2 linked regions of the Tamandua tetradactyla genome follow. The protein of the gene in region 1 purifies or fractionates together with the protein of each later gene. This does not show direct contact. Links are inferred from orthologs where the notes say so. Each region holds a gene or a part of one and is shown in the gene's direction. Other genes may lie near its edges.

Region 1 (3,749 bases):
GGACACGTTTGGAGGGCCATTACTCTGTCTACTACACACTCCTGCCCAAAAGTCTAGATTGAGGGTTTGCATATAGTCAGTAGGGGGTGACAATAAATGTGAAATGCTCTTTGGAATTAAAAAACTCCGGTCAATATATGGCCGCCCTGTGTGATCTTTGGTTAATTACTTGAGTCTTAGTATCCACATTTCCACTAAAATGGAAATTGCTGTGTTTGCTCTGCTTGTTAAATGAAATAATTATGTAAAAGGACCTAGTTTAGACTGACAAATAGTAAGGGCTCAGAAGTTCTTGATGAATCTTCATAAGGAGGGTGGGCGAAATTCTCTGAAAGACATCTGGAGACAGTTTGAGAGATTTCTGGAGAGCAGTGAGTGAGAAGCACCCACCCTTGAGGAGATCAAAAGGAATCAAGTTCCACGGAAGAAGCTCTTGAATTGTTTTGAGGCTGAGATGCCCAGATTAAAAAGGGCAAAGCTAAAATGTTCCTTAGAAGACACCCACATGCAAAGTGGTTGTTTAGTAGTACGAACTGAAGGGGGGATCTGTGGGGTCTTTGGAGGAAAAGATTACATTTTGTGAAATCCCATGCCACTTAGTTCAATGCCACGCATACCGTAGTTTGTACCATTACCAAGTGAATTAGATTTAAAAGGTAACTGGGGGGAAAAAAAAAAAGCAGACGCCACAGGTTCCACCGAGATTTGAACTCGGATCGCTGGATTCAGAGTCCAGAGTGCTAACCATTACACCATGGAACCGCCAGACGCCTTGTTGCGCTTTCAGATTTCTGAAGGTTAGTAAACCCCGCCCCACCACTACGTTGAAGCTTGTCTGATGCGTTCTCAGAGCTTGGAGTCCTGCTTGGCAGCGCGAGTTGGGGCAAGAATAAACGAGAAGTTACTAAGAGCATGGTCAGTTGGGAATCTAGGACTCATCTTCCCATATCAGCCTCCTTGAGGACGCTGTGACTTCAACGAACAACCCGATGCAAATGCTTGCAGCCCTGCGGGACTCGGAGGTGGGGCGCCAACTCCCCGGAAGTACTTCCCCTGAGGGGCTGGGGCTGCCGGAAGTGGCGCACGGCAGGGAGGGGCACTTCACCGGGTCCGGCGTCTGAAGCTCGGAGCTCGGGTTACCCCTGCAGCGACGCCCCCTGGTCCTACCGATACCGCTCCTGCTCCCGCCCCTTCAGACTCGGCCGCGCAATGGGCACCCGCGACGACGAGTACGACTACCTCTTCAAAGGTGAGCCTCTGGGCTTTGGCACCCTACAGTGTGTCCCCGTTTGGGGGCCCGGGACACTCCCCGGGGATCCGCGCGCGGGCCATCCCGGCACCGAAATGGGGCCTGCCTCAGCCCTTCCCTTCTGAGCAGTGCTTCCTGCCATCTTCCAGCTCAGTCTCTTCTCTCCTCAGACTGGGGGTCGCCACCACACCCCATTTCATAGCGACCTTCTCGTAGGCCCTCGCTAGCCTCAGAGCCCCTCATTGTGTGTCCTTCTCACGGCGGACTGCATTCTCCCAATTCGTCGTCTTCATTCCTTTTCCCGGGTTTATAGCTCCTTCCAAGGCCCCGCCGCCCCCCTCTCCATCTATCTTTTCTGACTTAGCGCCCCCCTCGCCCTCTTCACATCCTCTCTAATGAGTCCCTCTGACAGGCCCTCCCTCTTCCCTTTTCGCCTTTCCTTAGGCCCAGAGACTCCTACTACGGGTCGTTCTCTCATCTGGTACCCTTTTCTCCCGAGAGAGCCTCTCCTCTCTGTTTCCTCGCAGCCCCTCCTCTGGAACGGACTCCCCTCCTAGCCGACTGCTCCAGGCTCGGGGTCCAGGTCCTGATAACATCTGAGTGAGCCAGTGGCCCCCACCCCCACTTGTTCCGCTGTTCTCGCGGTCAGTAACCTTCCCCGATCGCCCCCGAGGGTTGGCAGCTCTTTTTCTACCTTCCCTCGCAAATGTTGATAGGTCCCGCGGCTCCAGTGCGACCCCGGGGTGGGGGTTGGGGAGACAAGAAAGAATGTCCATCACCCACGCGCGAACTTGTCGCAGTGACCCGGCAGGCTGATGTGACTTCCCACCTTGCCGGTTTTTTTTTTTTTTTTTCTTGCCGTCCCTTCCCAGCGGCATCTAGCCTGGGATAACTCTTAACTCTGCTAGTGAGAAGGGGTTGCGGATGGGTGGTGGCTGTTATCCTTGCCAGACCTGAAGGCCCAGTTCCTGAGCAGGAAAGGTTGTGCGCTGCACAAACACTGGCTTGCTTTATCGCAGTGGTCTGGTTGCTTCCTGCTGCAACACTGGGAGGATCCAGTCTTCTGGTGTTTTAGAACAGGAAGGGAAGAGTCGGAGTTGGCCCCATACCTTTCCCAAAAGGTGGTGGTGGGGGGGAATGGGTGTGTGCTCTTTTGCACATATTAACTATTATAAAACAGGGACATATGTCAGTGCCTTTGGACAAAATATATTGGAGAGTGGGGGTTCAATAGAATTGTTTATTGGTTAGTCCAGAAAGAATCCCAACAGTTTTTTTTTTTTCCTTAATCAACAGAGATAAAGGGTAGAGTTTGCAGTTAGAAGAGGGTATAGTAATTGCCTCCCCCTGTGTTTTTCTTTTGGTTGTTGTTCAATGAATCTCTCTCTGCTGCTGCTCTTTTTCTGCTCCTGAACTAGGAGGGCAGCCATCAGTAATGTGCTGAACAAAGATCATTACCAGGGAGGAAGAAGCCAGAGCTATTAAAGCTTTACAGTGGAGGGTGGAGTTAAAAAAGAGTGTTAGGCTTTATGACTGTTTGTGACTTTGCCATTGGGCGCTAAGAATGATTGACTAAACAAAGCAGGAAAGGTTTCTTTACCAGTACTTTGCAAATCTTACTATTACTAGCTGCTGATATACCCTTGTCATCACTTGCTCCTCTGAGCTGGTGTATTTATATAGGGCGCACACCTTCAAAATCTACCCCCATTCCCATACTGGCAAGGCATTTACAGAGAAGAGGATACTTAATGCCTTTTAGAAATATAAAAAGAAAACCTGTATTAGTTTATATACTGTTTGTTGAAGGCATCTGAGATTATGTGAAATTACTTAAGACAGTCCCTGGAAACTTTTAGGTTTCGTCACTAAAAGGAGGTTTGCTTTTCAAATAAAGTATAATGGCAGTGGGCAGCTTAATTAATTAAATTAATTAAATTTATAATTAATGAGAGAAACTGACCGGGTACTTCTCCTGTTTGGTTTGGAGTTTGAACATTTGTTATTAAAGTCTTTTTATATTTTCATTAAGAATATTATCCTGAATTGTCTTAAGGGCTTTAAACTTTTGATATAAATTTAAACATATATATATATAACTTTTGATATACCTTTGGAATTAGACCACCTATCTTGAGAGCATAGGGGTTTAGAATCAGGCAGACTTGGATTTAAATGCTGACTCAGGTCTTTTATTTGCTCTGTGACCTTGGGAAAGTTAACGTTTTTTTGAGCCTCAATTCCCTCATCTATAAAAAGGAAACAATACTTACGTCTTGGGTCTACTGTAAGGATTAAATGAGGCTCTTGTTAAAATTTTAGCTTCTATGAAGACTCAATAAGTGATAATCATGTGAAAGAAGTTACTGTAGTTCTTGTCAGTTTTTTAACGTTAAATTGTTATAGATACAAGAGCATTTAAATATTAATAAAGAAACTTAAAATTAGGAACTTCTTAAGTATTTTACTTTTCCACGGGTTCAGGTTTCATTTTGTTATA
Region 2 (3,749 bases), on another chromosome or scaffold:
GATAAGAACTTCTTTCATATTAAGAGTGGGCAGGGACAGTTATTTCTGGTGATAAAAAGTAACCAGAGGTCTTATACTACCTTAGCTCCAGCAACTAATCCATCATTAATCCATGGAACAGGCACGCTGTCACATGGCCCCCACCCTCTGGCCCGCAGGATCTTATCTAGGGACCCCAATTAGATGCAATTGTCATGAATAGGGCGGGTTATTCCGTAACTTTAGAGGTGGTGGGCATTCTTATGCCCCAACGGTGGGATATTCCGGGCTCGCATAAATTAACATAAGCAAACCGAGAAGCCCATGCCAACGTTTCCCAACACCATTTCCTGATTAATAAGAAAATAGCAGGCTCAAAATCATTCCTCCTAAAACACTTCTCTTTGAAACTGCAAAGTGGGTAAGACACTCTTCGGAACCTCACCTACGTCGGGCACATGCCTCAAAGCCTGTGCATCACGCTGCTCCTGCGCAGGCTACAGGCTCCTCCCTTCACGAGGCTCACCCACTCCCTTCCCGGCTACTTCCGGCTCCACAGAACGCCCTCAACGCACTGGCGGCGTTTTAATAGGCTTCTCTGGCAGAAGTAATCCAAGCGCGCCTCTCTGAACCGCCCCCGCCTCCCCTTCGCCCCTCCCACACTGTACAGTTTCTCCACAACCCCTACCTCCTGAAATCTCGCGAGGGTTGGTGAGCGTCGGTATTTTGCGGGCAACTGCCTCTCCCAGCTTCTGTAATTGCTGCTGCGGGAGAAATTGGAGCTACTGTCCCTGGCCCGCCCTCCCTCCCCCACCGAGAAGAGCCACCGCCTCTTCTCTAGCTTTCCTTATACATCTATTGCCCGGAGCGGCCACAGCAATAGTGTCTGGGCCTGCCGCCGCCACCTCGGGCGGTCTCTGCCGGTCCTTCCCGGCAGCTGCAGGCGGCCCCCTGCCCCTAACCGACTCCTCACTCCAGATCGTCTGCTCGCTCCTCATCCTTGCCTGGGACTCACTTCCCCCACGGTCTCGCCGGGGTGAGGGACGACAAGGAGGAGACGAGAGTCACCCTCCCTCCAGGAGGCGCCGGCCCCCTCACCCGCGGGTGTGTCTTATAAATGGCGTCGGAAAGCGACACCGAGGAATTCTATGATGCCCCTGAAGATGTACACTTAGGGGGCGGCTACTCCGCAGGGTAAGTAACTGGAACGGCATTCCCGTTCCCCACTTCTCTTGTTCCTTAACTCTGGTCCGGCTCTGTCCGCCACCGCCGCTCCTCTCAATCTCACTCGGGCACTTCAGAACCCAGATCTGGGGCGCCTCGGCCAATTCCTCTCTTTCCCTGGCGCACGGCCTCCGGAGCCCTCTCGGAGCCCCTTTTTCGGCTTGTTCTGTTTTCTGCGAGGTGGACAGGTTACGTGCCCAAGAGCCAGCGATTTATGTTTGTGGGGTCCAGAGTTTACCTTTCAGATATCCAGTTTGGCCTCCAAACCATAGATTAAAAGGGCAGGAACAGAAGAAATTGCACGTCTCATTTTTTTTCTTTTTACCGCTAACTTACCTATTCATTTAAAGGTAGCTGTGACTCTCGTTTGCTGTCTTCTTTTCCTTGCACAGAAAGAAAAGAGAGGAAGAAAGGTTGGGTATTTTCTTAGTAAGGTCCTCTAGCTGATGTACCTTAGGTAAACAGTGTTTTATTAAAACAGCACCTTACCGTGAGGCAAAGGAAATCGAAGACAAGGTCCTTATGTTAAGAATGCGTTCTCAAAGGGTAGCCGGACGTAAATGTACACAACAGATTCCAGAGATACAAACAAGTGCTGAGTAATCTGGTGGTTGGAAGGAGACCCACAGCTTTGTGCTCTTTATCTAATTTCTGCAAGATGTTGAAGTGGTGATTAACATCGGAGATTGAGTAGAAAAAACAGGAGTTGGAATGCTTCGCTTAGGACTTCTACTTAACCAATCTTTCACTTTTCAAAATTGGAATATGTTTAAAGCGATTTTACTGAACTTGACGATTTTACTTTACTGATTTTACGGTCTCGTGTGTATGTATTTTCATGCTGTAAGAACTTGAGAATTGATAAAATTTGAATGTTAGTGTAAGGCCCTAATGTGGTTCCAGGAGTTCAGCTCCCTTCAATTCTCATGCTTACCCCGTCGAAGAAATACCCTGTTTGATGAAAATAAAGATATCTGTAGATTGTAGAAATGGATTGTAAAACCTAGTGTATGTTATACATAATGATATATACCCAAAAAGAGCAGCAAAATCAGTGAGAAATGTACCTTGTTAATTGTAAATGTATGTGTTTCCATCGACCTTCATATCAATATTGTGGGATTTGGGGGATGATAATGGTCCATGTTAAGAAGACACTGAACTCAGTGTCTCAGTGTCTGAGCCAAGTTCATAGCCAGAGAGTAGAGGACAGAAAATTTCTATTTCAGTGTTGCTCTCTTGAAATTAAATTCTGTTTTTGTGTGTTTTTTCCTTCAAGGAAATAAACTGTCAATTCAGGTTAAATGAGAAACCTCCTCCGTTAGTATTGTATATATATGTTTTGCATTAATTAATTGCGTTGGTTTTTTTTTTTTTTTTTTTACACTCTGTTCCCACCTTTTGGGTGTGTATGTGGGGTAGGGAAAGTGGGAAGGGGAAATAACAATTTGCACATGCTAATCAATTTAGAGCTATGTGGATATTGTTCTTTTTCATTGAATACAATAAGATTAATTTTGAAGGGAGTTACATCAGACCTGTGTAGTCTGCCTGGTCAAGTACCTAGTACAGAGAAATATCTTAAAAGTTCATTCCCTTCTTCCTTTCTTGGAATTACCAAATTCATTAACTTCATATAATGCTTGCTTTGAGAGGAAGTATCCAGAGCTTGGAGGAGCTATTTAACTTATCTAACCAGATGGGGCGGGCCACGATGGCTCAGCAGGCCGAGTTCTCGCCTGCCGGAGACCCAGGTTCAATTCCCGGTGCCTTCCCATGCAAAAGAAAAATTAATTAATTAATTAACCAGATGAGTCATTTTGATAGAATTGAAAGAGTCACTTCTTCCCTCATATGATAATAAAGCACTTTGATCCTTTCATACTAGGTGAAAAGTAAAACAAGTTTTTCTAATTTTAACTCTAACCTGCCCAAGAGCTGAGTAAGTTGAGCACTGTGGAGAAAACTACATTGTCAGTTTGTGGATTTCGTGATTTCATTCTGTAGTGAGGGAATTTGGAAGAGAATTAGACTCATCTGGAGAATTGCATGTGAAAAGAACTAGCAGTGCTTGGAGAAAAGTAAAAGGTGGGTATCATTAACATTTTCCTGTATCCTTTGTGGCAGGTTTTGTCATTTGGGTAAGGTGCTGAGAAGACACTTGGCTGGGCAACTAGTGACCTAGCAATACATTGTGGAAATCTTGATTTGTGAAAACAGATGTTGTCATTAGATATTTGATCTTCAGAAATAGTTTCTATCCCTTGAAATGAACTGGAGTGTCACACCATACAAACTCTTAAGATGGTTAATAAACTGAATTTGGGCATGTTAAGAAATATTCCTTGCTGTTGCATGTTCAGGAATTCAAATACCATTTTACCACATTATAGTAAACTGAGTAGGCCCTTGAGAGTTACCTCGTATGTTTTGTTAATCAGCATAATCCAAATATGTAATCCATTTCCTAAAATTCATTTATTCTTTCCCCAGTGGTGTCTTCATCTTTGTTATTTTGCTCTTTGAAAGCAAATTTAATAAGTTAG

What was found. Proteins that work in one complex are often made in the same cells at the same time.
Region 2: the proteins of RAB11A (region 1) and WDR44 purify together in Homo sapiens (affinity purification with mass spectrometry; 3 studies listed by BioGRID and IntAct, counting the BioPlex papers as one, with this or other methods). This does not show direct contact. The link is inferred for Tamandua tetradactyla from reciprocal best matches to the Homo sapiens genes RAB11A and WDR44.

What each region holds. Positions count from the first base shown.
Region 1 is NC_135340.1:82,872,916-82,876,664, forward strand, and holds the start of RAB11A (ras-related protein Rab-11A), read left to right. Parts: upstream 1-1,066; 5' UTR 1,067-1,209; coding exon 1,210-1,249; intron 1,250-3,749. UniProt on the Homo sapiens protein: The small GTPases Rab are key regulators of intracellular membrane trafficking, from the formation of transport vesicles to their fusion with membranes.
Region 2 is NC_135353.1:49,266,554-49,270,302, reverse strand, and holds the start of WDR44 (WD repeat-containing protein 44), read left to right. Parts: upstream 1-805; 5' UTR 806-1,096; coding exon 1,097-1,173; intron 1,174-3,749. UniProt on the Homo sapiens protein: Downstream effector for Rab11 which regulates Rab11 intracellular membrane trafficking functions such as endocytic recycling, intracellular ciliogenesis and protein export.